Ovis aries: one gene and its partners. The protein of the gene in region 2 interacts with the protein of the main gene of each other region in a biochemical or structural test. Links are inferred from orthologs where the notes say so. Each region holds a gene or a part of one and is shown on either strand. Other genes may lie near its edges.

Region 1 (5,796 bases), on a different chromosome or scaffold from region 2:
CGTTTCATGACACAGAAAGACGCTCATTATAGATGTATACCTACAGATGATTATCTATGAATTCAAATTTTTATTTTAAAGCACACTTTACTCTCTCCTGTTGCCTTCCCAAGGTCAATTTCTCAGACCACATGAAATGCAAACTTCGCTTCCCTAATCTCACTCTGCATTTTCCAGCAGCTGTGTCAGTTTCCTAGGGGTAGGACAAGCACTCATTTGCTGCACAGAAAACAGACTTAGCAACTCAGAAGCCACTTGTTTTCTCTTCTTGCTCGAAAGGTCTTGGTTTCTGTAGTGCATTCCCACTCCCTTCTGTCATTTAAGGCACCCCAACCCTTCTCCCCCTTCCAGGGTTTCAGCACCTTCCATTTGCTTAACACCCAGGTAGTCTCATTCCTCACAGTTTCTCCTGCCTCTCTGCCTCTCAGCTCCCTCACCCATCAGTATCTGGGAGACAGCTCTGACCCATTCCTATTGGTTTCCTGGGAACCAAGTGTGGCCTTAGTCACAGCATCAGATTCTGGTGTACCAGAATTGGATTAACCCATCTATTTCGTCTGTGGGAGGAAAGCTATAGCGTGACTGACAGGTGGAATGGTGCATCCATGTGTCTGTTTCCAGCCTGCAGCACTGCAACTGGGTGCTGCTATGGAGGGAGAGCTGGGATGACAGGAATGACACAGCCAACCTGACCTGGAAGAGAGATTTACTTCTGAGTCAGCAACTTTGGGGAGATGAAGAAAGAAGCCTGCTGGCCAGAGCTCTGGAGAGAAAAATGAAGATTCAGCCCGGCCTCTAGGTGTACAAGTAGGGCAAGGTCTAGTTGTAAGCACAGGAGTTCGATAGCTATCATTCCCAAAGCACCTGGGACCTGGGCTCCCCAACCCTTTAGCTAGACCCATGGCCTTGATCAAGGTAAGCAAATACCCCACTTGCCCAGAATCTCTCTGGACCAAGCCCTGAGGCCCCAGAAACTAAACCAGTGCTGCCAGGGAAGGCTCTCCTGCAAGGACCAAGTGAGGCTGTGGAGGTGGCCTAAGGCAGGAGTGCTAGGAGGAACCAAGGCTACCCCACCCCCACCCCAACTCAGCAGTCCTGGCTTCTCTGAAACCCTTCTCTCTTTCCCTAAGGCCAGCAGCGGGGCAGTCCCAAGAATGTAGATGGAGAAGCGGAAGAGGTCTGTCCCTGGTCACAGACTCTAGCAGGGGCCTCGAAAACCACGCATCATCTGCTGCCCAAGTAGGGCCTGATGTTTCAGACTTCATCTCTCTGTCACGGGAAAGCAGCAAAGTAGGGCTATTGTTTTGGAGTTGAGGAAACTACAGCTGCCAAACAGGGATTTCTTCTCGTCTTGGCAGCCCCACGCAGGGTAGGATTTCCTTTACTTCCCCGGGGAAGGTGAAGCCCCCGGAGGTGGGCCACCCCTCGAAGGTTTGAAGGCCGAAACGCTCCCTGCTTGACACCCATTAACGGGCTTGAGGAAGCGGGTTGGTTTTCAAGGACTCAATGCTCGCGTCCACTCTGAAGAGGACGGCAGGTGCCGGGGTGACCCCCTCACCGGGGCTGGGAAGACAAGGGATCCCGGGGCATCCCCAGGAAAGAAGAGCAAGGAGACGGCCTCAGGAGCGAGCAGGCTGGGTGAGCGCCGAGTGAGGGGAGCAACTGCGGGCCGGGGGCGTTCGACTTTCCAGGAGCGCTGGTGCGCTGGTATGGGGGTGGAGTGGGAGCCGGCGGGGCGGGCCCGCGGTCGCCCCGGGGCGGCGGCGCCAGGCCGGAGGGGGTGGGGAGGGGCAGCCGCCCTGTACTTCCCCTTCGCCGCTAGCTCTACAACAGCCTGATTTCCCCGAAATGATGAGGCGGCGCTGGCCAATGGGCGTCCGCTCGGCTCTGTAGGAGGCGGGGCCCGGCCCGGGCTGGGGGAATCCCGCTAAGTGTTTAGATTCTCCGCGGCGCCGCGGTTCAGGCAGAGCGCGCCACTCCTTCGTCGAGGCAGGACGTGCGCCCAAGTCTGGCAAGCAGAGGCCAGCGAGAGCCGTGCCAAGTCAAGGCCAGCCGTGCCAAGTCAAGGCCAGCCGTGCCCAGCGGCTCCGCGACCCGGGCATCCTCTGCCTTCTCCCCGTTCCCACTGGAATCGCGCTCCTAGCGCCGGCAAAAGCAGTCCTCGCCGGGACCCTCGGTTGCTGCCGTCGGGGAGCGCCTGCCGTCGAGGTGAGCGCGCCTTCGCCGCAGGGGGCACCGGTGGCTTCGGACAAAGGCGCTCTCGGGGCACCAGGAAGTGGGGGACTAAAACCCTTGCCGGGAGAGTGACGGGTGCGCGGCGTTGCCGGGGCCCCCGCGCGGGCTCGGAGGGCGCCCGAGGAGCCGCAAGCAGCTGCGCGGGGAGGGCGGGCAGCGGCGTGGACCGCCCACCCCGCCGAGGTTGTCCGTGCCAGAGCCGCTGGCGGCCTCTGGGTGGCCCTGTGTGTTGGTTGCGCGCATCCAAGGGCTGTGCGGGGGATTCGACTGTATATCAAAGCATGGGCGCCCTTTGCTCCCTGCGCCCGCTTTTCGGCGGTTCCAGCTCAGGCCCAGCCCCCAGGTTTCGGGCTGTCTCTGCAGGTGGCGGAGGCTGGGGCCGGCTGCGCTGGGTGGTTGGAGGACCTCCCGGAACCGCGGGAAGAGGCGCCACAGGTGTTCTTTGGGCCACTTTGCCCAAGGAGGGCAACCAGGCCCAAAGGGTTAGCGTACCGGCCTTGGCACTGTGGCTGTCAGGCAGGCAAGGGATAGATTGGGGGGGGGGGTTGGTGACGAGGATGCAGGGTGACTGTCCATTAGCGAAGGTGCACGGCTAGTGACAACAACTCAAACAGGGAAATTTCTTGGCATCAAGCAAAAGAAGCCCCTCTCTTCCCAAACAATTTGAATTTGGGGAGTAAAGTTCTAGTATTTAGATATCTGTGTGTTTTGTCTCTTTTCCTTAACATAATCTTCAAAGTATCACTTAGCATGTCTGTCCTCTCCCAAGACTGTCTAGGAGGGGCTGAGGGAGGGAGTGTGTTGCTTAAGATGCTGAAAAGATTTGGAGGGAGGTTTTATTAGAGAGAAAGTCCCCTTCTGCATGATTGTAGTACTTGGTATCTAGATGAGGGCAGGGGAGGGTAACTGAATGACTTGGGGTGGGGCTGGGTAGTGGCCAGGGACTGCTCAACAGACTCCTAACAGGAGCCTTCTGTCTTCTCTTCACAGCCAACATGCCTATCACTCGGATGCGCATGAGACCCTGGCTAGAGATGCAGATTAATTCCAACCAAATCCCAGGGCTGATCTGGATTAATAAAGTGAGTGTTACTCTTTGGATTTTTCTGCCACTGTTTTAACCTATGTTCTTCGGGGGTCCAACGCTTCAGATGCAGTTCAAAAAGGGAAGTGATAAGGAGTAGGTAGATGTATTTCCCAGTGGATCCTGCAGGGAGTGTATAAGACACAGCCTAGGCAGGGCCCCACTGGCTGCCTTCTGCCCACCTCACTTCTTGAGGTATGCATGGGGCATCGACCTCGGGCCACTTAACAGTTTTCCAGCAGCAAGATTCTCCCAGCATCTGCAGAGCCAGAGTTCTGGCCTGTACTGAGGGAGACCTCTACAGGCACACACAGCCTTCTAGAGGGCTCCGCTTGGGCAGATAGGAGACAGAGAAGTGGGCACTGCTGGCAGGAAGAGGTGGCTGCCCCAGCAGGTGAGCCAAGAATTAACCTTGCACCAGTTGTCCAGACCCAAGAGGCCTCTTGCTGCTGCAAAAAGAACAGACCCGGAAGGCTTAGTAGTACTAATAACAGCTAATGCTTACTCTGCTCACTTACTAGGAGTGAGCATGGCACCATGTTAAGTATGTTACTTACATTGTGTCATTTAATCCTCAAAGTCGCCATGCGAGGAAGATTTTACTAATATCTCCATTTTCAGATGAGGAAACAGGCACTGAGAGGTAGATAATGAGATCACACAAAAAGCGATGGAGCCAAGATTTGAACCTGAGCAACTCAACTCAAAAATCCATACTGTTAACCAGCAGTAATGATAACAGTGGGACCTTAGCTTTTATATTTGTTACTGCGGTATTGTTTTTTTCCCCCCATGTCATGGAAACCAGTGAGGGATACAGAGGTACAGTGTCAATGCCAGGGTCACACAGGTAGTCACCATCCAAGTCTGGTCCTGGGCTCCTGCAGGTATATGACCAGAACTCCCTTTGTAGGAGCCAGTGTTCACAGTTGTTCTGAGAAGCCCCATATAATGGACCGAGTTCTCACTTCCATGTTGGTGCTGACAAGCCAGAGAGAAGCATCCAGGGGTCCTCTGTATGGGTCCTAGCACATCTGTAATGAGCAGAAGGAGGTCTTTGCTGACCTGATGATGCCATAGCTCATCAGAACCCAGAGCCTCTTCTGAGAGATCCAGAGGGATGGACCAGTCTGTTTAGGCCATTGTTGGGATGGGTCAACCCCAGCCAGATGTCAGGGTGAAAAAGGGAAGTCAGTCTTTTCCCAGACCTCGAGGGCTGGGCAGACTAAGGCCAAAAACCTGTGGTCTCTGAGCTGACACAGCTTTGTGTGTACGTGTGCTGTATAGGAGGAGATGATCTTCCAGATCCCATGGAAGCACGCTGCGAAGCATGGCTGGGACATCAACAAGGACGCCTGTCTGTTTCGGAGCTGGGCCATTCACACAGGTGAGTGTGCTGGACTCTAGCTTAAGAGGAGCTGGAAAGAGAGAAAGGGAGGCACTTCTGTTAACACAGAGGATCTTCACTGGGGTCTCTGAGTTCCCTGAGATGTACATAATTCATGGTGGGCAGGGAGCAGGCCTGTGTTTTGAGGGGAGAGGTTCATCATTTCAGCAAGTTCACAAAGGAATTTATAAAGCCAAAATCTTAAAAAGTATGGCTTCATGGAATTTGTGGCTGAATTAAAGTTCTCCCTGGCAAAAGCAGAGGCAAGCATTGACACTGAAAAAGATCCAGGCCTTCCTTTTTCTTGATGTTGACTAATGGTCCTGGGCCCATCTGGTTGGCAGCCTCCTTTTATCCTTCAAGGATGGGGCTCTTGGCCCATCTCGGACCACTCAGTCCCCCTATCAGTAAATATTCTTTGTTGCCTACTCTGTGTCCTCTCCCGTGTTTGGAACGATCAGATAAGCACCAGTCCCTTCTTTCTGGCTGCTGACAGCCAAAGAGAGACTGCCTTGATCTGTGACAAAGGTGGCACTTTGGGCTTGGGCTCTCTAGTGCTTCTGGGTAGGGCTTTCCCAGAGGCTTGCTGGGTGTATCAGATGCCCACGTCTGGGCGTTTGAGAAGCCCAGGGCCTGCACCAGTGTCAGCCAGGAATACCTGCTGGTTTGATCACTGTGGACCTCTGGCAGCATGCAGGCTTTAGGGATACCCTTGTCTTTGTCCTTCTGAGCCAGGGCACAAATGAGGATTCCCACCGATAGCCCTGATGATCCTCTCCCCCTTTCCTGCCAACTAGGCCGATACAAAGCAGGGGAAAAGGAGCCGGATCCCAAGACCTGGAAGGCAAACTTTCGCTGCGCCATGAACTCACTGCCAGATATTGAAGAGGTGAAGGACCAGAGCAGGAACAAGGGCAGTTCAGCTGTGCGGGTGTACCGGATGCTCCCACCCCTCACCAAGAGCCAGAGGAAAGGTACCCAAAGGCCTCTGGGTCCTGGGGAAGCCCTCAGGGAGAGAGGGAAGGAGGAGGAAGGGCAGCTGGGGCCGGCATGCTTGCCTCTACCAGGGCTGGGCTGACAGCCTGTTTGC
Region 2 (5,928 bases):
TTGAGCCTGGGCTTTGGGGTGGGGGGCAGTTAGACCCAGATAGAAAAAAGCCCTGGCCCAGGCCCCATCCTCACCCCCACCTCCAGCAGACAAGGTTTCAGCCCCTGCTGAATGAACAGCTCTCAAATGGGAGCGGTTCTGCACCCCGCCCCCACCACCAGGGGATATTTGGCAACTCTGGAGACATTTTTGGTTATCATGATTGGCAGTAACACTGGCGTCCAGTGGGCAGAAGCAGGAATGCTGGCAAATACCCTACAAGGCACAAGACAGAGCTCACAGCATAGAAGTATCCAGCCCAAATGTCAATAGACTGCTGTTAGTCACACGCAGTGGCGACTGGGGCTGCACCAATGAGGGGTTCAGGGTCACGGGCAGTGACAAGAATGGAGAAGAAGATGGGGGGTTGAGGGAGGAGAAGAAGACAAGGGTTCAATCCCTGGGTTGGGAAGATCCCTTGGAGGAGGAAATGGCAACCCACTCCAGTATTCTCGCCTGGGGAAGCCACAGGACAGAGGTGCACAGAGGACTACTGTTCCATGGGGCCCCAAGAGCTGGACGTGAATGAGCGACTAAGTGAAGCCGAAAAAAAAGAGAAAGCGCTGGGCCTGGAGCGGGCAGAGCTGGGCCCCCGCGGCCAGTGCGCCTCCTTGTACAAGTCCCGTAGCCTCTCCGCCTTTTTCGTCAGGTGGAAACAGGCCGAAAGGATTGGATGAGAAGATAAAACAGGGAAGAAGCTCGCCCGTGCCTGCACACCAAGGCTGCTCCAGAAACGCACGCTGGGGGTATGGGGTGTTGGTGGGGAGCAGGAGCGTGGGGTTTTAGGGTAGGGAATTCATGTCCCTGAGAGCTAACTGGATCCGATCCTCGGAATTCCAAAGAAGCCTCGGGAAGGGTATGCTTTTCCTTCCCCAGAACGCAGCGGTGGCGCCCGCCGGGGCCAGGCCAGGCTGGGGAAGTCAGGGCAGGGCGGGGCCTGCTACTCACCGCTGTGGCTTTCTCCATCACTGCTGAGATAGGGGTAATATTCGTGCGTTTGGCGTTGGTAGAGATCCGTGTCATAGGGAACTAGGTCTTCCGATGGCTGCTGAGAGAGGAGGGGGTCAGAACTCGGAGTGCGGCGGGGAGACCCCAGGCAGGTTGGCAGGACACCCCAGGATGTTGGGTCCACACTGAGCCCCTTTATCAACTGGGAGAGGCCACGCAGGGCGCAAGCGGGGGGACCCAGGGGTGCAAGAGCCTTGGCTCCGGCGGAAAGGGGGTGACAGAGACCTTGGAGGGTCAGAGGTCAAAAGAAGACAGGTCTGAGGGGACAGCTCCCCCGGCCACCTCACACTCACGCTCCACGGCATGCCCAGGTCCCAGCCTCACACACTCGCCCGCTCACAGGCACATCGACGTGCCTAAACCACCCCCCAAATGCACACAAACTCCCCCTGACACATTTCTTCCCACACTCCCAATGTGAGCTCACACGTCCACTCACAGCCCTCACACTCACCCCAGGCACACACGCCAGTATACACTTGCCTGTAGGCGCTTGCAGAGTCCCTGGGGTTGACATGCGAATCCACTCCCTCACCTCCAAGCGCGCTGACACACACTCACGCCCATGTCCTTGCTCGGTCACTCATGTTCCTGCACGCCCATCGCCCAGCACACAGGCTTGTCCTCCTGCCATAGTCCCCCAGGCCCCCAGGCTCTCTCGCTGCCCGATGTCCAGGTCCCAGGCCGGCTCAGGGCCCCCACCCCCACACTGGCTGTCCACACTGATGGGCTTTAAAGGACTCACCCCACGCAGGGCTAAGGCCATGGCTTTGGGGGCCTCTCCCTCCTCCCCTTTCCTCCAGAGACACTCCCTGGTCCCCCTCCCTCCGTCTCCCCATCCCTGTCCCTCCCCACCCCACTCCCTGGCCAGGCACTGGGATATGCACACCCAGAGGCTTCCCGACAGTCACCAGGCCTCTCCCCACCCCCGCGCGTGTGCCCAAGGATTGCACAACTGTCACCCCGGCCCTCGGGGCTTGGTTTGGGGGCCAGAGCTGCCTTGGGAGCCCACCTTCACAGGACCCACTCTGCGTCCCCCCTGGACTGGGCCAAGGGGCTCAGGAGGCTCGCATGGAGCCCAGGAGGACATGTCTCCCACTCAGCTTTAGCTGGGGTTCAGGCATTGAGAGGTCAAGGGTCAGAGACAGGGTGGCCGGGCCCCGAGGCCTCTGGCTGTCTTGAGGCAGAGTGGGCTCTTCCTGAGACCACCCCCTATCACCCTCTGCCTGTCTCCCCCATCTTCTAGGTTCCAGGTGGGGGTGGGGGGGCCAGGGCCAGGTCAGAAGCCGGCTGGCTTGTCCCATCTGTGCCCGGCCCTGCGTGGAGCCTGGCTCTGGGTCTGCAGACAGCACAGCCCCACAGAAGGGTGTCAGGCTGGGGTGCCTCCCTGGGGCTCTGGGCCTGCCTGGGGTGGGGTGGCCGGGGATAGGGGGAAGGGAGCTGCCTCCAAGCCGGGAAAGCTGAGTCAGATGGGCAGGCCCGGCCAAGCCCTTCCCAGTTACCCCCAGGGCTCCCCATCCCCGGCTGAGTGCGGAAGGGGGTGAGGAAAGGGAGAGGGGTCCTCTCAGAGGGGCCTGGTGGTGTGACACCTGCCGGAGGCTGCAACTGTCACTGAGAGCGGGAGCGGAGGGGGTCTGCCCCAGACGGCCGCCCTGCCATCCCTGGAGTCCCCTGGGACGCCCGCTTCTTCACCTCCGGCCTCAGCCGCTGCCCTCACTCCCGTCTCTCCTTGGACGAGGTCCTCCCCCAGCCCCAGTCTCAGCCCCGGGAAGGCTCTGCCCTCCTCTCCGCAGTCCCAGCCCCAGCTGCCTGGCCAGCCCCTGCTCCCCTTGCTGCCCCAGCCCCCGCCTCTGCCTCCGCCACTCGGGGCCCAAGGCCCAGACCTCTCGGGTCAACAGGCACGTCCTCTGTGCCTGGGTGGCAAGGACCCAGGTGTAAGGCAGCCACGGTCTCGAGGAGCACCCAGTCCAGGGCCCGGACCTTCGGCCTCTTGCCTCCTGCCCTCCAGCCCTTCACTGTCCCGGGGACCGGCTTCCCTCCACGCCAGCCTTCCCGCTCCTCCACCACCAGCTCCCCGCTGCCCTCACCACCCTCAGCCCAGCCCCCCCAGGCCCGTGGAACCCCGGCTGCCACCCAAGCCCCATCTATAAATAACCGTTCAGGCCCCATCGATCACAGCCCCACCGTGGGCCCGGCCCTCAGCCCGCCGGGGTGTGCTTGCTCCAAGGAGGCCGATGGCCCTCTTGCTTGGGTCTCAGGCCCTGGGGCTCCAGGGAGGAAACACCAACTTCCCACTGATAGGGGAAGGCAGGCGGCGGGCTGGCGGGCAGGTGGCGGGCGTCCGAGGGCCGCGGGCTGGGCTGGTGGAGGAGTCCCGATACTCACAGGGGGAACGAGGGGAAACCCTTCCATTTTGCACGCCTGTAACATCCAGCCGAGCTCCGAGCCGGTCAGGTCCCCTGCCTCGGTGGGGGCCAGTGCGGAGCCCCTGGGGATGGGGCGCCCCGTCGGGGGTGGGGGGGGCTGGACCGCTTCGGGGCGGGTGCAGGGCTCAGGCCTGCCCCTTGAGCTACAGGAGCCCTGGGTGAGCCCCCTCCCTTGACATTGCAGGGCCAGCGCAAGTTCCTGATTTTATCGAAGGCCTGCCGCTGGGAGATAGTCCCCTTGGGGTGACATCACTGCCCCGGCCCGTTTGCATAAATCTCTTGCGCTACAGGAAGTCTCTGGCCGGCTGGGGCAGGTGGTGCTCCAGGGGCTGGCCTGGGAGGCTGAGGGGGAAGCCGGGACTGTGAGGGGCGGCCTTGAGGGCTGGGGTAGGGTGGGAGAACGGGAGGGCGGAAGGCTGGCTGCACCACCACGAGGAGGGCCTTGCTGCCCCCCGGGGCCTGTGGAGGCTCTCTCACCCCGAAACCCCGCAGATGCCTACTACTTTTGAGAGCCCCCCTCCATGTGGCCAACAGTCACTTCCTTGGGGGATCGGAGCTGGTAAGGGTGTCCTCTTGGGGCCTCCACGCTCTGGGGTCAGCCTGGTTGGCCTAGGGCTCTGGTCCGGCTAACTGCCAGGCCTGGCTCTTCCTGGGCCCATAGGCTCCCAACCGCTCGGTCCTACCAAGCCTGGGGCTGGGCCCTGGGGCCTGGTCATCAGCATCGTGCTGATTTCTCCTTCCTTCCACCAGCTTCATTTCCACCAGAAGGATTCTTACACCCTCCCCTCCCAGCTTCCTAAGGGTCACCATGCCTTCCATATCTCTGTTCCCAGCCCAGATTTTTCAGTCTCCCCACCCCTTACCAATGCCTGACTGTCAATCGAGTCTTCCTAGTTTACAAACTTTTCTTGTCTGTCCATCCGTTCATCTGTTTTCCATCCATTTACTCATCTGTTTTCTCAGTCCCTCTATCCACCCGTCAAGCCAGCCGTTCACTTGTCTCTCAGTTTAATCCAGCTCTTCATTCCCCCATTTATCTGTCAGTCTACGATCCATCCACCCATCTGTTTGTCTTCTCATCCACTGAGCCATCATACGTCCATTTATCAGCCCATCCACTTGTTACTCATCCACGTTTCCAGCTGTGTGTCCATCGCGTGTCCAGCTGTCAGTCTGATCATTCATTGGTCCGTCCATTCATCTAGCCATCCATCCATGTATGCATTCCACCATATCAGCTGAGTTCTAGGCTTCATGCCCATACGATATGGCTCAGACGGTAAAGCGTCTGCCTGCAATGTGGGAGACCTGGGTTCAAGCCCTGGGTTGGGAAGATCCCCTGGAGAAGGAAATGGCAACCCACTCCAGTTCTCTTGCCTGGGAAATCCCATGGACACAGGTGAGTGGCAGGCTATAGTCCATGGGGTTGCAAAGAGTCAGACACGACTGAGTGACTAACACACACAGGGTTTATGCTCAGTCCTGGGAAAAGAGAAAGGTCCTGGACAAGACTCCTGTCTTCAGGGAGTTCCTGATCTAGTCTGAAGGGCAGAAGGATGAACAGAGGCCATTTTTAAATCTTTGGTCTCTAGTAAGCCCACTTCTCCAGCTCACTGAGAGCTCACTCTCCTCTCCTGCGTAGTCTTACCCTTGCTCTGAGTCCCATTCGCACTAACACTGCGTCCTTCCTGTCAGTGGACCACAGATACCCGAGTGCTTCTTCACTTGCGGCGAAGGCCAGGGGATGGCAGGCCTGGATTCACCATGAGACTCCTCCCGTCTACATCTTCACTGTTTTGCCTCCATCTGTGGGACTTTCCAAGGAGTCCAGGTCGCTGGTCCTCAGGACACCCTAGGAACCTGACCAAGGCCCCTCCCCAAGAAGAGGGGAGAGGCGGGCTGACTTGGCATCTGTGCCATCCCTGACCCCACTTTCTCATCAAGAAGGCCTGTCCCCACTGACTGCACGGCTGTGAGGCTGGGCTCTGCTGCACGAGAGCCACGTCCTGCTCGATGTGTTCATTCATTCATTCTTCGCTTGTTTGGCTTATATGCTTCTTTATCTCCTCTTTCGTTCATTTAATCACTGACGCTTTACTGAAGGTCTCCCGTGTGCTGGGCCAGGCGAGGGGACGTGAACGTGAAGGAGGCATGCCCCGGACCTCCAAGAGCTCACAGGCCCAGAGGGAACAGACATGTGGGCAGCTCCGTGCTTCTTTGGGGAGGCAGGGGCACAAGAGTTGCCAGGTGCTCTGGCACATAGGCAGTCAGGCCAGGGCCACAGGCAGGGAAGCACGAAGGGGCCAGAGCACGTCTGGCTGAGGAACAAGCCTAAGCGAAGCCAGGAGGTGGGAGAGAACAAGGGAAAAAGCCGGAAGCAAGACCAGACCAGGCGGCAAGGAGCCTTGAGCTGGGAGCCTGGGCTGGGAGCCGGGAGCCTGGGCTGCCTCCAGGA
Region 3 (5,791 bases), on a different chromosome or scaffold from region 2:
ATTTCGTGGAGAAAAAAAAAGAGCCAGCAAATGAGAGCACTTAGGTGAAGACCCAATACAGCAGTGAATTGCAGGTCTATATATATGTATATAGAGTGCCCCCAGCTCTTACGCACCGAAGCCTTTCTAAGGCTTGATCCCGAGAGTCCAGACTTCTGCAGTATAACAAAACAGCTATGCTCAAGACATTCACACACCAGCAGAACCAACGTTAACTGTGCCTTGAAGAAGTGAAAAAGGCCAAGGCTTTACTCTAACAGAATGGTCACAACGCCTCTTAAATATGGGAGTGGCCATGCCCTGCTCTCACTCTGTTCCCCCCCCCCCCGACACCATACCTACCATCAAAGAGGTAGAACCAAATATTTTAAGCAAAGGTGTACAAAGCAAGCTTTCAACAGGAAGGGGCTCCATGCCAAAGAAAGGCAGAAGAGACCAGGTAAATGCAGAAGAGCACAACTTTTGTGTCAGTGAGTCCAAGGAAAAGAGACTTTACATCCATCCTACCCAAACTGAGGTAAAGGCACAGTGGTGACAATGACAGTTTCACTGGAAGGCACTGGTACAGAAGCACTGAGAACAAGGTCCTCCAACTGGAGCAGTAATAATGCTCTACCCAAGAAAAAATGGTTGTCTGCCAGCCACACAAGGCTGGTCTGCGTGCGCATCACCAACAAAGGGTGGGGAAAACAAACAGGTGTCTGCCACGCTCCCTGGAACCACCAGTCTAGGACTATGTTTTACCCCCTCTGTGCTTGAAACACTAGTTACTGCAAAAGTCAAATCCTTTCTATAATATTCTTCTCATAGATAACTCGGGCAAGCTGGCCACAAACTGCTCTTAGCCAGTTAAAAGATTTTCACTGATATTCACCTTTACAAAAGATCACGGGTTCCAGGAGACATCATTTATCATGTAAATAATCCCGGGCAGGTATATTAACAGTGGAAACCGCCCTCCAGGAAGGAACTAACACTTTTCCATCGGCTCTTCTTTATTCTAGGTTCAAGAAGCAAGGTTCTCATTCCGTCTCCACTTGGGGGAAGGGGTATTCAGGAGGAAGATATCATCATATTGGACTCCTCTAGCCAATTCTTCTGTCAAATTTCACAGCGTGCCTCCCCATCCCACTAGATTCAGCCACAAAGAGGCAGGGCCAGCCAGCAAACAAGGGCTGTGGCTGGAAATCGCAAATAAAATGCAAAACAGTACTCGAACCCTCTTGCAACATAAGCAGCACAAAAGTTGGAGTATGGTTGGACTGCATCATGCTCTGTCAGGTGAAACAAAGACCTGGGATTCTAGGTTGCAAGCATTCCAGGCAAATTTGTATTCCAGGCAAATGAGTATGGTGTGTACTGGCAAGAAAGCCATAGAGAGTTTCCTCAAGCTGTTAGGACACCATGACTTCAGATGCCACCAGGTACTTTGCAGACAAACTATATTCTGGAGGCTGTGGGATAGGGGTATGATGGAACAGCTCACTGGAAGGGCACCCGAGGCGGCTAACGCACTGACAATGATGGGAAACGAAACAGAGCCCTTGCCGGTCACATCTGAGGCTCAGATGTACAAACCTTGGAATCTTCGTTAAGTGAGGCTTGTGTATCTGTGTGTGCAGACAGGAATGCACCTCAGTGATCAGCCCCCTCGCTGACATGCCACGAATGGGTGTTCTGTGGCAACTTATTCAATCAACTCTACACCTCTGTGACTGATTGTGCCCTTTAAGGTTCTGATACGTCCGGGTAAAAAATGAAAGCAAATTTTTTCCTAGGTTCCAGGACTAGGATTTAGAAGTCCTTCAAAGCCCATAAATAAATCTATTTCCCTAAATCCCTAGTGGAAATTCCCAAAAGACCTAAAACTAAAAACCAGATTTTAAAAAAACATAAAGATTCAGCATATTTCAAAGGACCCAAGAGGTTAATGGCATTCTTAGTTGAAATCGTTCAGATGCAGATGAAAATTCTGACGGTGGAACCCAAATTTCTCCTGGATAGCAACTGCCTGTTAATAATGATTTTTGCTACCAAGGCCGATATATGCTTCATTTTTGTAATGTAACAAAATGCCTAAAATTTGCCAGAGTCCTCAAGTCTTAAGCCACTCAGCCTCACAGGCCAGTAGGTTCGGTTCTGTGATCACCAACCACCCACAGAATTCTATGCTACCATCTCACAATTTGGGGCACTGATCGGCACAACAGAGACACAACTCTGAATGGCTTTGCAGCCCGTTCCTGTTCCTGAAAAACGAGAAGCACACATCTGCCTGACCATGAGTCAGGAATATCAATTTTGTGGTGGAGCCCATTTCGGCTGTGACCAATCCACACCGAACACACTCACAGTAGAAGCGACGGCCACAGAGGTGTATTCCACAGCCAGCCTTCCCCGCCCTTGGAATCCACACTTAGCAAGGCCATGAACGGTCTCCTCTGTGAAAGCAATCTTTTAAACTCTTCACCATGACCTTAAGTCTTCAGTGCAAAACCACAAAAAACATTGCCACACCACTAATCAGTCACCTGAGTTTCAGTATGGGTGACTCAGAAGCAAACTAGAAAGAAAATAAACTTTCAGGGACCAAGCGATGGGCACCCCGGCGATGCGGTGAACTTGCCCCATCTGGTACTGGTGATCTTGAGCCGGGCGCGCTCCGGGACTATGGAAGCCCGTCACAGACTGAGTCCCACTCCACTTATGTAACTGGAAGATCGCCGGCGAAGCGGGGCGGGCGGGGGGGAAGGATGGGAGGGCGCTCGTATTCTGAGGCCATGCCCCCCCCCCCCGCAAACGCCCTGGGAGCGTGCTCCCATCGAAGCGCTACGGGTGCTGCCGGACACCCCGTCCCCTCCCCACGGCTCCTGATGGCAACTATCACCGCCTCTTTCTGATGAGCTCTGGGGCCAAGAACACAATGTCTAGTGCCTTTTGTGGGTGGACAATAATTCCCACCTACTTGTTCTTGCTAGATGCGAAAGGAACTCGCTCGCGGCGGGGACGGTGGGGGGGCAGAAAGTCATGGAATGGGCGAGAAGGAGGGGGAGGCAAAGCCTGGAGATGGGGGCGACTGCCCAGGAGCCCTTGTGGCGCACTCTCCCGACGGGAGGAGAACTGCGCACGCGCGCCAGTGGGGGGGGCCGAGTAACGGGAGAGGGGCGCGCGAGGGAGGGAGACGGGAAAGCGCGAGCCAGGGAGAGGCCGGGGGCGCGGGCGCGCGACGGCGCCGCGGGCCCGAAGCCCCGCGAAGGGCACGACGCGCGCGCAGCCCCGACAGGCGAAGCCCCGGCGACAGGGGTGCCCGCGGGGCCGGGGGGCCGGGATGCGCGCCGAAGGCGGGAGGGTGGGGGGAAGCAGGCAAAGGCAGCCTGAGGAGGCCGCGCCGAAGACGGTCACCCGCAAGTGCGGGTAACGGGCCGCCGCGGGGGGGGGGGTGCCGTCACCAGCGGGAGGGGGAGGGTAGAGAGGAGGGACGCCATCCGCCAGCCGTGTCGCCCGACCCCGCGGGCCCCTCCCGCGCCACGTCCCGCCCCTACCCCCCGCCCCCCAGCAAGGGTCCCCGCCCGCGGCCGCGGCGGTCCCACTCACAGTCTCTCCTCCTCGCCTCCTCCTCCTCCTCCGCTCGGCGCGGCAGCGGCGGCGGCGGCCATTTTCCGGACGGCTTTTACCACAGCCCTCTCTCTGAGAGGAGGGAGCGCGCGCGCCGCCGACGCCGAGACCCCGCACGGCCGACGTCGCGCCCCGCCCTCCCGACCGGCTTGCGCACAGCTGCACCTGCGCGCCTGCGCCCCGCCCCCGATGCTTCAGCGAGCTGGCGCGCCATTGGATGTGTTGGCCGGGGTGGGGCGGGGCCTCGGTGGCGACGCCCCCAATTGGCGGGACTCGGTGTCCGTTCCGGCGAGGGAAAAGGGGGCGGACGCCCCGTCTAGCTGCCGATTGGCTGCCAACGGCCGTCATTTGGGGAAAAGAGGCGGCTTGGGCGCCGAGGGGATGGTTTAGTGGGCGGAATTTGAATATTAAGGATTAATAGGCCTTTGCGGATGCTGGGGCAAGGGAAGGCCTAGGTTCCGGACGCCTGTTTGCGCGACCATCCCGGGCCCTTGACCTGCTGTCCGCAAACACACAAAGTACATTGCTATAAGCCTCCCGCAACACCCGCATTTTCTCAGTATCACCACATTCAGTAGAAGCAGCAAAGTTGCCTGACATTGTTCCAGACAAGAACCTTGGGTTTACGAGGCCTACCGAAGGCATTCTTTCATTTGAGCCTACCGTATGCCACACTCTCAGAGGGGCAGGGAAATAACTGAACAACGAATTGTAGCCTTCACCTTCTTGCAGCTCTGGTGGGGCAAGAGGGTGCATGCCAAGGCTTGCACGAAACCTGTCATGGTTGGATGAGATGGTTTGGGGTGAGTGGGAAGAGGGGGCAGTGGAAACACAAAGAAATAAGCGCTCGGCCCGGAAGAGGTGATTTGGGACTTAAGATCCAATAATGCTGGTATAGAAAAATATTTAAGAGTATGGAAAAAGTTTTAGCTAGTGAGGGCTTCCCTTGTGGCTCAGCTGGTTAATATCCACCTGCAAGGCGGGAGACCTGGGTTGCATCCTGGGGTTGAAAAGATCCCCTGGAGAAGGGAAAGGCTACCCCACTCCAAGTATTCTGGCCTAGATGGGGTCTCAAAGAGTCAGACACGACTGAGTGACTCATTTCACTTCACTTTAGCTAATGGAGTGTTCAGGATAGTACTGTCTGTCAAGGCGACTTTACTCTGATTCCAGCTATCATCCAATCCATCCAATGCTCTTTTTGCTACTTCTTCAGTTAAGAAGGAACCGTCTGATTCTGATGTGATTCCCTACCCCACCCCCATTCATTTATTAAATCCCTGTTATGTACCAGGCACTGTTCCAGGCTCTGGATGCAGAGTACTGAATAAGTACTTAACATTCTTGTAGGGGAAGATTCAGAGTGAACATACAAAAAGTATAAAATAAAATGTCACATAGTGATAAGAATTTGAGGTAGATAAAGCAACAGTGAAAGGGGTGCTATTTAGATGTCCACCGGCTTTTGCTCTCATTTTGTTCCCCCATAGGGTTATCTATGACCAGTGTCTTCTCCTGGCAAAACTCAGTTAGCCTTTGCCCTGCTTCATTTTGTACTCCAAGGTGAAAATTGCCTGTTACTCCATGTATCTCTTGACCTACTTTTGCATCCCAATCCCCTATGATGAAAAGGACATCTTTCTCTGATATTAGTTTTAGAAGGTCTTGTAGATCATAGAACCAATTGACTTCAGCTTCTTCAGCATTAGTGGTTGGGGAACAGACTTGGATTACTGTGATGTTGAGTGGTTTGCCTTGGAAGCAAACAGAGATCATTATGTTGTTTTTGAGATTGCATTTCTAACTCTTTTGTTGACTGTGAGGGCTGCTCCATTCCTTTTAAGGGATTCTTGCCCACAGTAGTAGATATAATGGTCAACTGAATTAACTTCACCCATTCTGGTCCATTTCAGTTCACTGATTCCTAAAATGTTGATATTCACACTTGCCATCTCCTGTTTGACCACACCCAATTTACTTTGATAAATGGACCTAACACTCCAGGTTCTTATGCAATATTCTTCACAGCATTGGATTTTACTTTCGCTGAAATCAGATTGATTATATTCTTTGCAGCCAAAGATGGAGAAGCTCGATACAGTCAGCAAAAACAAGACCTGGAGCTGACCGTGGCTCAGATCATGAGCTCCTTATTGCAAAATTCAGATTTACCTTG
Region 4 (5,829 bases), on a different chromosome or scaffold from region 2:
GGATAACATTGTTCCAAATCCCTAGCTGGTCTAAGGGTTGGAGGTAGGCATTAGTTGGATAGATTAGTAGGCTAGACAAATGATTGATAGGTGGGTGGATAGATAGATAATGGATAGATGATAGAGTGATGATGATAAACAGATAAAATTTACATAAATAGAATCATTATATTTATTTTCTCAGAGAAACACTGTATAGATCATTCCATGTTAAAGTATATATATCTATCTTCAGAATATATGATGATAAAATTCACCAAGAAGATGAAACAATCTAAATGTGTAGGCACCTAGCAACACAGAATCAAAATAAGTGAAAAAATAAATTGAAATGAAAGGAGAAATAGTCAGATTCTAAAACTATACTTTAGGGAATTCCCTGGCAGTCCACTGGTTAGGACTTGGCATTCTCCCTGCCAGAGCCCAGGTTCGCCGATCCCTGGTTGGGGAACTAAGATCCCAAAAGCAGTGTGGCACAACAAAAATAAATAAATTATACTTGGAGTCAGGACTATAAAAGAGCTGAACAGCATAGTAAACAACTTAACCTAACCAACACTTACAGAACAGCCCATCCAGCAAAAGAAAACTCTAAAGATGGACCATGGCCTCAGCCACACAACAAACCTTAACAAATTTAGAATAACTGAAATCACACAAAGGAGGTTCTCTGACCACAGTAGAATTAAACTACAAATTAATGACAAAAAAAAAATGCTTAGAACCCTCCCCACAGAAAAAATATGTGGAAATTAAACACACACCTAAATAATCCCTGGGTCAAAAAGTAAGTCACAAGGGAAATTATAAAATGTTTGGAATGGAATAAAAATGAAAATACAAAATATCAAAATCTGCAGGATGCCAGTAAAGCAGTGCTTAGAGGAAAGAATAGAGACAGTCAGATGCTTATATTATAAAAGAAGGTAGTTTTCAAATAAGTAATCTAAGCCTAAGAAATGAGGAAAAAGGAGAAGAACAAATTAAACCCAACCAAGCAAAATGAGAGGAAAAAATAAAGACAGGAACAAGTGTGAATTAAATTAAAAAAGAAAAACAGAAGATAAAATCAATAAAACCAGAAGTTGTTTCTTTGAAAAGATCAAGAAAATTGAGAAACCTCTAGCCAGACTGCCCAAGAAAAAAAGAGGAAAGACAAACATCACCAAAATAAGGAATACCATGTTATCTCAGTGATGTTAGACAAAGAGCAAAGCAATGCTATAAACAACTCTGTAAGCAATTTGACAACTTGGATGGACTTGACCAATTTCCTTCAAGAATGCAGACTATCAAAACTCACTCAAGAAGTAGATATTCTAACTAGTCCTGTATTGAAAGAAATCGAGTTAAAAATAATCTTCCAAGAAAGAAATCCCAAGCCCTTTTCCAAACATTCAATAAAGGAATAATACAAATTCTACAGTCTTTTCCAGAAAAATAAAAGATGGGAAAATTCCCATCTCATTCTGTGCAGCCCAAACCAGAGGAATAATACACAAGAAAGGTAAACGATAGCCCAATATCCCTCATGAATATAGGCACTAAAGTCCTCATCGAAATATTAGCAAATCGCAGCCATTCATGAGAAAAACACACATCAACGCCAAGTAGAATCTAGCCTGGAATTCTAGGCTGGATCAACATGAGAAAATCAAGCAATTAGCAGATTAAAGAATAAAAACCACCTCAGTATCTGGATAGATACGCAAAATGCATTTGATTAAATTTAACATCCACTCATGACATAAAAAAAAAAAAAAAAACAGCAAATTAAGAATACAGGGAAACTTCTCTAACCTGATAGAGGACATTTACAGAATCCCGACAGCTAACATTATACTTACTATTTAAAAAACTGAATGCTTTCCCCCTAAATTCAGGAATAAATTCAAGCAAGTCCACCCTCTCCCTACAGAACTGAAAACATGTCATTCCAAAAATCAGTACACAAAACTTACAGCTTTGGCTTTGCTCATAATTTCTCAAAAACAAAGATATGGAAATCCTTCAGTGGATGAATAGATAATGACATTGTGATGTGTTTCCACGTAGTGGTATAGTACACCGTACATTTCCACTTGACAGAATGTTGTTTAGTTGCTAAGTTGTGTCAGACTCTTTTGCGACCCCATGGACAGAAGTCTGCCAGGCTCGTCTGTCCATGGAATTTCCCAGGCAAGAATGTTAGAGTGGGTTGTCCAACCAGAGGTCCATGGTTGCCTTGGATTAGGGACAGAGGGGGAGTTCAGACTACAAAGGGGCAGCCTGAAGATCGGAGGGGGTGGCGGGGGCGCACTGTCTCCTGGTCTGGTGTGGCTGCAGAGCCTCACATAGTTATGAAAACATACAGACTTGTATCTCAAAAAAAGTGAAACTCACTACATGCGTGCGTGTGTGCCAAGTCGCTTCAGGCATGTCTGACTCTGTGTGATTCTATGGACTGAGGCCCCCTAGGTTCCTCTGTCCCTGGGATTCTCCATGCCCGCCTCCAGGGCATCTTCCCAGCCCAGGTCTCCTGCATCTCCTGCACTGGCTGGTGGGTTCTTTACCACTAGCGCCACCTGGGAAGCCTGAAACTTAGTATATGAAAACTTTTAAATACATCTTATAGAAGCTAGACACACACACACACACACACACACACACACACACACACACTTCTATTTTCTAGCCATCCTCCCAGCTGCATTCTTACAGATAAACTTTAGATTAATTGTGGGGTTTTTTTTTTTTAAGCTCACACATAATTTGCTTTGAACTGTACTGAATTACAGCTAATTCATGAGAAACAGACATATTTTCAAGAGTAGGTCTTTCTATCCAAGAACATCTGGATCGCCTTTTACACTCTTTAACAGAGTCTTCAGTCTTTTTCACTTTGGATCCTACGCATTTTTGTGACAATTTTCCTAGGTTTTTAATGCATTTTGTTGTTACTGTGAATGAAATCATTTTTTTACCTTACAATCTCTAAATGATCATTATGGGCTTAAAAGGAAAATATAGGTTTCTGAATAGCTATTCTATAACTGGCCGCCTCAACTGACCTCCTAGTTGGTATTAATTTCAGTCATTAATTAATATGATGACACTTATGCTTGCATCACCCACAAACATTGGCTGCTCTTGGCCACCATGTCTATGCCTGACTTCCCTTTTCTCACTGTGATGACTAACGCTTTGAAAACAATGTCAAGTAATTCCACTTTTATTTTCTAAGTTCCACCCACAAGGAGGCCAAGCAGCTCTCCAGCCTCTTGGGCTCAGGCATCATTTTTCTAAACTCAAAGACAAAAGAGTGGAGCCTATATACACATCTCTATTTCTCACAATGTTCCATCCATTAAAAACTAATGACTCGGCAATATTGGAAGATTTAAAGGAAGAAGGCAGACTGTTGCTCCCTTACCACCCCAGCCAGCCGCCGTCCGCCGTGTGTGCTCATCCTGTGTGACTGGCACTCCATTGTTGTCGGAACATAGGAAGTGTCATTTCAGAGGCTGAAAGCACTTCCTGGATTCTGCACGCAGACTCCTAGCCCCAGACGGGCATGTGTGCACACTGCCACCTCCCCATCAGAAACGGGGGTAAAAGAGTGGAGCACAGAAAACAGAGAGAGACAGCTCCTCTAGGGACCACGGTGAGATGACAGGAGGGGAAGGAACTGGGCGTGGAGGCACCCAGAGGGCAACAGAGCTGGAGAGGAAGAGGGCAGCTGGCGTGGCTGAGCCGTCAGGCTGGACCGGCCAATCTAGAGACTGGAAAGCCTGACAGAGCTGTCTCTGCCCTGGCCACCGGCTGTCTGGGTGACACAAACAACTCCCCTTTGTAAAGAGAACAAACTGAATTTCCAAGGATACGTTCAGCCCCGAGTTCACGTATCTGTTTCCTAGGGGAAGCGAGGCACCTGGGATGAGGGCTGGGCTGTCAGAGCGAGACAACTGAGAAGCAATCCCAGGTTTTTCCAGATCATGAGGTCATCCGCTCTTTGTGTTGGAAAGGACCGGATGGCTGACCTAACATAATTCCCCCGCTTCAGGAATCCCCTCTCGAACACCCTTGACATCCTGAGACTGATTCTGGCCCTGTGTCCTTCCCAGGGGTCTGAATGGCAGTTCTCAGATTCTGGTACAGGAACAATGCCAGTCCGAGGCAGTCTTCATCACTGGCAGCTCAAATATCCTTTCTTTCATGAATGATAACACTGACATATGGTAGGTAGTTTTTTAAGTACCTTACTACAAAATCAAGGCATCAACTCCCCAACACACCCAGGTGTTCCTTCCGACTAGGGTTTGAAAGAATCCACCTTCAATGGGGGAGACCTGGGTTTGATCCCTGGATTGGGAAGCCGCCCTGGAGAAGGGAAAGGCTTGACTCCAGTATTCTGGCCTGGAGAGTTCCAGGGGTCACAAAGAGTCAGATGCGACTGAGCAGCTTTCACTTTCACTTTCAGAGTTTGAAACGCAAGAGAGTAAGAAGCCTTAGAGACATCGTATATGAGCAAACGTGTCCTAAATGAAAGCAGGGCACCATACGGGAGTGGCCGTGCGTTTCTGTGCAGATGATGAGGACAGACACAAACACGTGGCTTACAGTGGAGAGGAATTTCTAAGTACTTTTTCATCTTTCTTCCCCCTCTCACCCTGCATGGTGAGTGTCCAGCACCACCAGATGGGAATGTGGGAACACCCGTATTATCTAACACTTACTTGTCTACAACTGATGACCTTGCCTATTAATTACTGAGCAAGAGAACAGAAGTTTGCCTTGGTAGTCTTATGTCTGACATTTGAATAAGCAGCAAAGGTTTAAGACGGTCTTCGAAACTGGGAAACATCACCAAGGTGTGGTGAGATGGGGACCTCCTAGGTGTGAGGCAGGGCTTCTCTTGAACACTCACCAACCTGGGAGTTGTGTATGGTTTAAAAAAATGCAGGAGGAGGGGAAGGTGTATATTTCAGGTATAAGGTGTACATCTCATCCTCAAAAGGCATTAGACCATAGTGACCATTGTTCCCACTGTAACATGAGTTACAGTATTTAAATTGCGTCCAGCTAAAAATGCTTTTGACCAGAGCATACTACAAACTTGCACAAAAAAATAGACTATATTCTTCACAGGCAATGGAAATATTATAATAAAAATGCTATTGGATAAAGTATGAATAGGCTTTCACGAGAGGTACTGTGCTTTAATCTTACTTTTTCTGGAAAAATCAGAACAGAACAGAGCCTACATCCACTTAGAAGAAATAGATCCAGTTAGAAGTGGCCAACTGATTTTCTACCAGTTAAAGGTAGAAAAGTGCCAAGGCAATTTAAAAGAGAAACAATAATCTCTTTAACCAACGGCACCCCACTCCAGTACTTTTGCCTGGAAAATCCCATGGACGGAGGAGCCTGGTAGGCTGCAGTCCATGGGGTCGCTAAGAGTCAGACACGACTGAGTGACTTCACTTTCACTTTTCACTTTCATGCATTGGAGAAGGAAATGGCAACCCACTCCAGTGTTCTTGCCTGGAGAATCCCAGGGATGGGGGAGCCTGGTGGGCTGCCATCTATGAGGTCGCACAGAGTTGGACACGACTGAAGTGACTTAGCAGCAGCAGCAGCAGCAGCAGTCCCAATAGCTGAACAACTGGGCACTCGTAAAAGAGAAAAAAAAGAACAATGACTCATATCATATGCAAAAATGAACTCAAAATAAGTCTGAGATATAAATGTAAGAGCTAAAACTATAAAACTTCTAGAAGAAAACATAAGGTCACATAAGTGACCTTGAGTTGGGCAAAGATTTCTTAAACAGGACACAAAAAAGTACAA
Region 5 (6,086 bases), on a different chromosome or scaffold from region 2:
CGTACGGGGTCGGCATGCTGTACGGGTGGCTCATCTGCATCTGCGGGTCCTCCATGGTCAGCTGCTTTGCTCCTGAGGGTTTGGGGAAAAGGGAAATGCGCGGTGTGAAGAAGGAACTGACAGCATGAAACGTCAAATCTTAGAAAAACACCTGAGAGTCCAGTTCCTAGAATGCATAGCACAGTGTTGACAAATAGGGCATTTTCCTGCAACTCCCTTGGGCAATTGTTTGTCCAGGCCATTAAACTGGTTCCTACAAGGCGCCACAAAGCGAGCCCAAGTCGAGAAGCCTGAGGGCGATGGGCCTCGTGGCACGAGCTCCCCCAGCAGACGTCCATCTAGTGAGGTCACCTGTGGTTTGTTAAACTGGGCTTTGCTCTGGGTCCAGAATCTTGGAAAGTGGGAACCTTAGTTTCAATAAGCAGCCCAGTTGACCACGGCAAAGTTTGAATGTTGACACTTCTCTTACTACAAATGGTAACGAAATGTAGATCATGAACCTTCCCTTCCTCAAAATGGCTAATCACGAGAGACAGATGAATAAGTAAAGTTTCAAACAGCTTTTCCGTTCTTGGCTTGGAAATCGGGCCCGAATCTCAGGAGAACTTCCTAGAAAACGCAGGCGTATGCACACACAGGAAGAGACCAGGAGCCTGAGACCACCCGGCAGCACCACCGCGAGAACTCCCCCTTGGGGCCCAGAGAAGCTGGGAAACCCGCCCGCTAGGCTGGACCGGGAGGCCAAGGCGAGCCGGCTACAAAGCAGCAAAGGGAAAACAGGACCCTGACAGGGAGCCGTCTTGAGGCGCGAGCGCAGGTGGCCCCAGCCCGGCAAGCCCCACCTTTCTTGGCTCCCTCGGGGACGATCCGGTACACTTTGTAGGGGTCCGAGATGTCCAGCTGGCTCCGCTCCACCAGCTCCTCGAAGTCGTTGCTCTTGTTCAGAGCACACCGCAGGCGTGTCTTCCAGGTGGGAGGGTCTGGCTTGTCGATGCCTTCTCGAAACTTCCCTTTAAACAGTGCCCAAGCCTGGTGAGAAAAAGTGGGGAAAAGTTAAAATGCAGGTCTTTCAAAAAAGAATCTGGAAATTGTATCTCTAAAGCAAAGAATGGCGGCAGGGGCTTCAGGTCCACAGGAAGGTGGGACAGAGGGTGTTTATGAAAGACGGGTGAGATTGAGGACCCCACAAAGCCCACCCCTCAGGAAGCAGTTAGGCTGGAAGCAAAGACAGAGCTGAGGGCTGAGGGGCCACCGCAGGGCACCTCTGGACGTTAGGGAGCCTGAGGCAAGCCTTACTCTTCCAGCAAGTTTCCTGAGGAAGTCCCCCTGCCACGCTCTGCCCACAGGTGGTGGGGCTGGGCCCTAAAGCACTGGCCACTGGGTAAACTGCCCAAGGGGAAAACGGTCAGGACAGGGACACACACACGGGGCAAAGAGAAACCCCCAGAGAGAGGCCCAAAGGAGACCCTGAGAGGGAGAGAGAGGAGAAAGAGGAAGGGAGAGAGACGGAGAAAACTTTCCAGGGAGAGACTCGGGAAGAGGGAGTCACACAGAGACAGTGAGACAGAGGGAGAGACGCGCCCAAGGACCAGAGAGAGCCCGAAGGAGAGCGCTGGCCAGAGAGGGGGCGTGAGGCGGGACAGCGTGGAGAGGGCGCAGGGACCAGCCCCGAGCGGCGCGGCGCACACAGCTGCCCGCGCGCAAGGAGGAGACACAGTCGGTACGTGGAGGCGAGGAGGTACCCAAAGTTCCAGAAAGAGGGCCCCAGGGAGAGAGAGGCGCAGCCTTGGCCCACCCCTCTACCCGGCGGGAGCGCGGACGGGCATCTGACTCCGGGGGACCGTGCGCCCCTCAGGCGTGGCACCGGCTCCGCCCTCTGCGAAGTTACCAGAGCAGCCGCGGGACCCCCGCGCTCCCGCACCAGGCCCGGTGCGCGCGGCGCGGACCGGCCCCCGGAGCCCGGGGCGGGTCGGCGCGCGGGCCCTGGCCCCTCCCAGCCCCGCCCGGGCACCTTGAAGAGCGCGGCGTCCTCCTCGCGGTTGTAGTCCTGCTTGCCCGCGTGCTTCCAGGGGATGCGGAAGATGCTCTTCTCCTCGTTCTCCCACACCAGCCCCGGGTACTTGCCGCTGTCGATCTGGTCGATGAGCCACTGGCGGAGCTTCCCGTTGCCGCAGCTCACGGAGCTCATGCCGAACTCGCCGCCTCGGCTGCCGCCCTCCAGGTTCATGCCCCGCGCGCCGACGCTGTCCCTTCGCAACCCAGGCTTCGCTCCGGCACTCGCTCCGCGCTGCGGGGAGAGGAGGCGGCCCTCGGCAATGACCACGAGGCCGCAGAGCCTCGGAGGCGGCGAGGCGCGCGCCGCCGAGTCTGTGACGCCCGAGCCGCGAGAGAAGGCCCTTCTCAGCCGCCCCGGCTCGTGCGTGCCCCTGGCGCGCCGCCCTCCCGCCTCCCTGAGCTCGTGCGCGACCTCACCTTCTGGACGCTCCACTCGCGTTTCCCCCCGCGGCCCGCACGCCGCCCAGACTCAGGGCTCTGATCTTCGCGCACCCCCGAAATCCAGCCGCCCCCACGCGTGGGCCTCCGTTTGCTCTCGTACTCCCGCTCCCCTGCCCAGGCCCAAGCCGTGGACAGTCCATCCCCCGTGCCACGGCCAGTTTCCGCCCGCGCCCCCGCCCGCGCCCCCGCGCCCCGGTGGCCCCGCGTGTTCCGCACGCGGGCTCCCCCGTGGCCTGGCCTTCCAGGTGCGCGGCGGCGGCAGCTCCCCCGCGGCTCTCTCTGAAACCCGCACTCTTTGCCCCAAGAATGCCCCGGAGCCCCAGACAGGTAGCGACGACCAGGTGGCCCGGGAGCCACACGCGGCAGAGGGACCCGGCCTCAGGCGGCGAGCGCAGCCTCGTCGTGGGGGATCCCCGCGCGCCGAGCATCAGCCGGGCGGGGAGGCCCGCGGGGAGCGCGGGGGCGGGAAGGTGCCGGGAAGGCGGGGGTCGCGGAGCGCGGGGCCCCTCGTGGCCTGAACTTGGAGCGCCTCCTCTTCCACCACCGGTCGGGAAGACGCGGGCTCGGGGCCGAGGGGGCTGTGAGCCCCTCAAGAGCGAGGAGCAAGAGAAGCAGCCTCGGGAGGAAGGGGCCGTCCCCGCGGTCAGGGCTGCCGCCCGGGGTGGGTCCCTTCGACGACCCCCTCGGGCGCTGATGGCCCAGCGACCTCGTTACCACAGCCGGCCCCGCGCGTGGCCTCCGGGGCCCGGGCTCGGCCGACCCGCGGACGCCGGGGCCGCGGGACTCCCCGGCCAAGGGCAGACGGGGTGGGCGTCGGGGTCCCTCGAGGGGCGTGCTCTCGCCTGGCGCCGACGCCGCGGCGGCCCGCGCTGCCCCGAGGCGGCCCCCACCCGGCTGGCCTCGCGCCGGGCTCCTGCGGTAGCGGGCTGGCAGCCCGCGTCCTTCCCGACCCCAGTCTTACCTCGCCCCGGCTTGAGCTGAGGGCAGCGGTGAGTCCCAAGTCCAAGCAGCGAAACTAACCTCGGAGGTAGGAAAGAGGAACTTTATAAAGCTTGAAAGCCGCGCTCGGGGCGGGGCCTACGCGGGGCGGGGCCGACCGGGGCGCCTCCCGGCGGGGCGGGGGCCGCGGGCGCGGGCCGGGCGCGCGGGGCTGGCCCGGGGGTTCCGGGCAGGGGGCCGGGCGCGCGGGGTGCGGCGGGGTCTGCGGACGGAGGGCCGGGGGCGCGGGGCCGGAGCTGGGCTAGGGGCTGCGGACGCAGAGCGCGGGGCGCGGGGCCGGGTCGGAACCCGGGCTGGCGGGGCGCCGGCTCCCAGCTGGGCGCGCGGGGCTGGTCTGGGGGCTCTGGGCAGGGAGCCGGGTGCGCGGGGTGGGGTAGTGGGCTGCGGACCGAGAGCCGAGGGCGCGGGGCCAGGCGGCGCTGGGGACGCACCTCGAGTCGGGCGCACGGGCCGGGGGAGCCTCACTCGGGCGGTTTCCTGCCGAGGGCAAGGCGCGAGGGGACCTCGTCTCCGCGGCGGGACCGCTGAGCAGGAGCTCAGCTACAGCGGCGCTGTCAGGGCGGGAAGTGGGGGCGTGCAGGAGCGGGAATCTGGTGCGATGGGGACTGGGCTTGCAGAGCTCGTAACCAAAGACAGGACTGTCCGTGTCGACCGACCGTGGGTGGGTGGGGGGCACCCTTGGCTGTCACCGAGAGCCCCGCCCCTCCGCCGTGTTTAGAGAACATCACACTCATTGAAAAGAAAAAAGGAAATGGCCCAGATACCTTGAGCTATAAACTGCGCTCACACGCTGTCTGGGCTTGAAATGCTCTCATCCTGCTGGTCGGCTCAACTGGAGGACTTCAGTAACTGAGACAGCACCCCCACAGCTTTAGCTGTGGCAGCAGGGAAGAACTGGAAGAAGTGTCCAGGTCCACCTCTCAGTGGCATAGTTTTAACCTCAACGTGGGAGAAACAATTTACAAGTGGGAGCTTAAATGGCCAGAATAAGAACAATATTTAAACAAAGGGATTTTACTTAATGTTCCAAGATCTAACGCCCCCCCCCCCCCCAGCATCTCGAATGCTTCAGCATGTTTGTGTAGACACCAATTTCAGGTAAACCGTCAGATCACTGGTTTCTGTATGATTTTAGGCCACCACCACCCTAGGTCAACTCGCTACTTTTGAAAAACTTTTGATTTCTCTTATTTCTCAGTTTTTCTTTTAAATATTGGGCCACTGTCTCCCATCCAAAAAAACAACCAAGCCAGCCTAGAGCAAAACAGCCGTGAGGCACAGAGTGGGTGAGCTTTTCCTCAAACTAACGGCTTTCTCAGAAATTAACAGGATGCTATGCTTTTATTCACTCAAGTAAGTTTTCCACTATCAGAGTCTGTGTAGTAAACAGCAGGTATTTTTCAAAGAAAATTCTGGTCACGGCGGTTTTCCTTCCTTTCTTCTTTCATGGATTCATTCATTCAACAGATATTTTGGGGGCCCCTCTGACTGTCAGGAACTGAGCTCAGCACTTGGATACCTCAGCCAACAAAGTGGACATGGCCGCCTCCCAGCTGCCTTGCGCTCTAACCAGTGGATTGCTTTCTCCAGCGTGCTCACCAGCAACAGGACGATTGCAGAGAACAAACCCCGCCAACTAGAGCTTTCTGCGCTTTCGCACACGTGTCCTCTGCCGCGACTTGGTTATCTCACCGCTCCCCTCATGCACTTTCAGACGCTGAAAACCACGTCGGCCTTGTTTTAAAATGTGATTGCAAACCTTCAACGCCATCTTCTGGCTTACTCATTTGTCGTATTGATCTACCAGAAGTGGTATTTTCTGTTATGATGAGGTGGATACAGAGAATCGTGTGTTTTAATCACTGAACTCTTGAAGTCCTCACTGCCCCAGGAGGTGGGGAGGGAGGGCTTGGCCTCACCAGTTAGCTGCTCACTGCAGACTTCCCTGTCTTAGTCACGGCTGAAACAGAAGGGAGAGAAGGTTCAGACTGGCCCTCCCCCACACGCCTGAGATCAGAGTGCCCCTCAGAGAAGACTAGACGCCCCTCCAAGTGGCGCAGCCTGTAAAGATCAGCTGGTCGGACGTGTATCCTAAACAGCCCATCGGCGTGCTCTGTGAGGGGGTGTGTACTTCAGCCACTTGTATGCTGTTGTAGATGGGGCCGCAGGAGCTCGATTTTCGCTTCACATTTATCATAAAGAAACCATAAGAAAAGTTGAATTTACCTAAATTCAGTAATTTAGAAATCAATCTTTTAAAATTATGCATTTGCATGCAAGAAATGTATTTTAGAAAAACCCATACTAGGTACAAAAAAACACCTTGTTTTGGATAAAACTATTTTCTCACTAACTTATTTTTCAAGAAGGGAGGAACTGTTGTTCAGTTGCTCAGCCGTGTCTGACCCTTTGTGACCCCGTGGACTAGAGCCCGCCAGGCTCCTCTGCCCATGGGATTCTCCAGGCAAGACTACTGCAGTGAGTTGCCGTTTCCTTCTCCAGGGGATCTTCCTGACCCAGGGTTCGCATCCACGTCTCCGGCACTGCAGGCAGATTCTTTACCACTGAGCCACCAGGGGGGCCCAGGGAGG

Evidence for each region.
Region 1: the proteins of SPI1 (region 2) and IRF1 form a complex in vitro, tested with the Homo sapiens proteins (2 studies listed by BioGRID). The link is inferred for Ovis aries from reciprocal best matches to the Homo sapiens genes SPI1 and IRF1.
Region 3: the proteins of SPI1 (region 2) and MECP2 form a complex in vitro, tested with the Homo sapiens proteins (2 studies listed by BioGRID). The link is inferred for Ovis aries from reciprocal best matches to the Homo sapiens genes SPI1 and MECP2.
Region 4: the proteins of SPI1 (region 2) and IRF8 form a complex in vitro, tested with the Homo sapiens proteins (3 studies listed by BioGRID). The link is inferred for Ovis aries from reciprocal best matches to the Homo sapiens genes SPI1 and IRF8.
Region 5: the proteins of SPI1 (region 2) and IRF4 are reported together in a solved structure, tested with the Homo sapiens proteins (2 studies listed by BioGRID, with this or other methods). The link is inferred for Ovis aries from reciprocal best matches to the Homo sapiens genes SPI1 and IRF4.

The regions. Positions count from the first base shown.
Region 1 is NC_056058.1:19,726,553-19,732,348, forward strand, and holds the start of IRF1 (interferon regulatory factor 1), read left to right. Parts: upstream 1-1,985; 5' UTR 1,986-2,208; intron 2,209-3,225; 5' UTR 3,226-3,230; coding exon 3,231-3,317; intron 3,318-4,606; coding exon 4,607-4,706; intron 4,707-5,503; coding exon 5,504-5,680; intron 5,681-5,796. Other genes in the region: uncharacterized protein LOC114114850, read left to right, coding at 622-799. UniProt on the Homo sapiens protein: Transcriptional regulator which displays a remarkable functional diversity in the regulation of cellular responses.
Region 2 is NC_056068.1:76,140,334-76,146,261, forward strand, and holds the start of SPI1 (transcription factor PU.1), read right to left. Parts: upstream 3,675-5,928; 5' UTR 3,478-3,674; coding exon 3,433-3,477; intron 1,829-3,432; exon of another isoform or gene 1,814-1,828; coding exon of another isoform or gene 1,793-1,813; intron 1,088-1,792; coding exon 988-1,087; intron 1-987. UniProt on the Homo sapiens protein: Pioneer transcription factor, which controls hematopoietic cell fate by decompacting stem cell heterochromatin and allowing other transcription factors to enter otherwise inaccessible genomic sites.
Region 3 is NC_056080.1:80,216,895-80,222,685, reverse strand, and holds the start of MECP2 (methyl-CpG-binding protein 2), read right to left. Parts: upstream 3,690-5,791; 5' UTR 3,657-3,689; coding exon 3,595-3,656; intron 1-3,594. UniProt on the Homo sapiens protein: Chromosomal protein that binds to methylated DNA. It can bind specifically to a single methyl-CpG pair. It is not influenced by sequences flanking the methyl-CpGs.
Region 4 is NC_056067.1:11,356,296-11,362,124, reverse strand, and holds the start of IRF8 (interferon regulatory factor 8), read right to left. Parts: upstream 3,474-5,829; 5' UTR 3,413-3,473; intron 1-3,412. UniProt on the Homo sapiens protein: Transcription factor that specifically binds to the upstream regulatory region of type I interferon (IFN) and IFN-inducible MHC class I genes (the interferon consensus sequence (ICS)). Can both act as a transcriptional activator or repressor.
Region 5 is NC_056073.1:51,016,878-51,022,963, reverse strand, and holds the start of IRF4 (interferon regulatory factor 4), read right to left. Parts: upstream 3,518-6,086; 5' UTR 3,458-3,517; intron 2,288-3,457; 5' UTR 2,228-2,287; coding exon 2,012-2,227; intron 1,030-2,011; coding exon 843-1,029; intron 73-842; coding exon 1-72. UniProt on the Homo sapiens protein: Transcriptional activator. Binds to the interferon-stimulated response element (ISRE) of the MHC class I promoter. Binds the immunoglobulin lambda light chain enhancer, together with PU.1.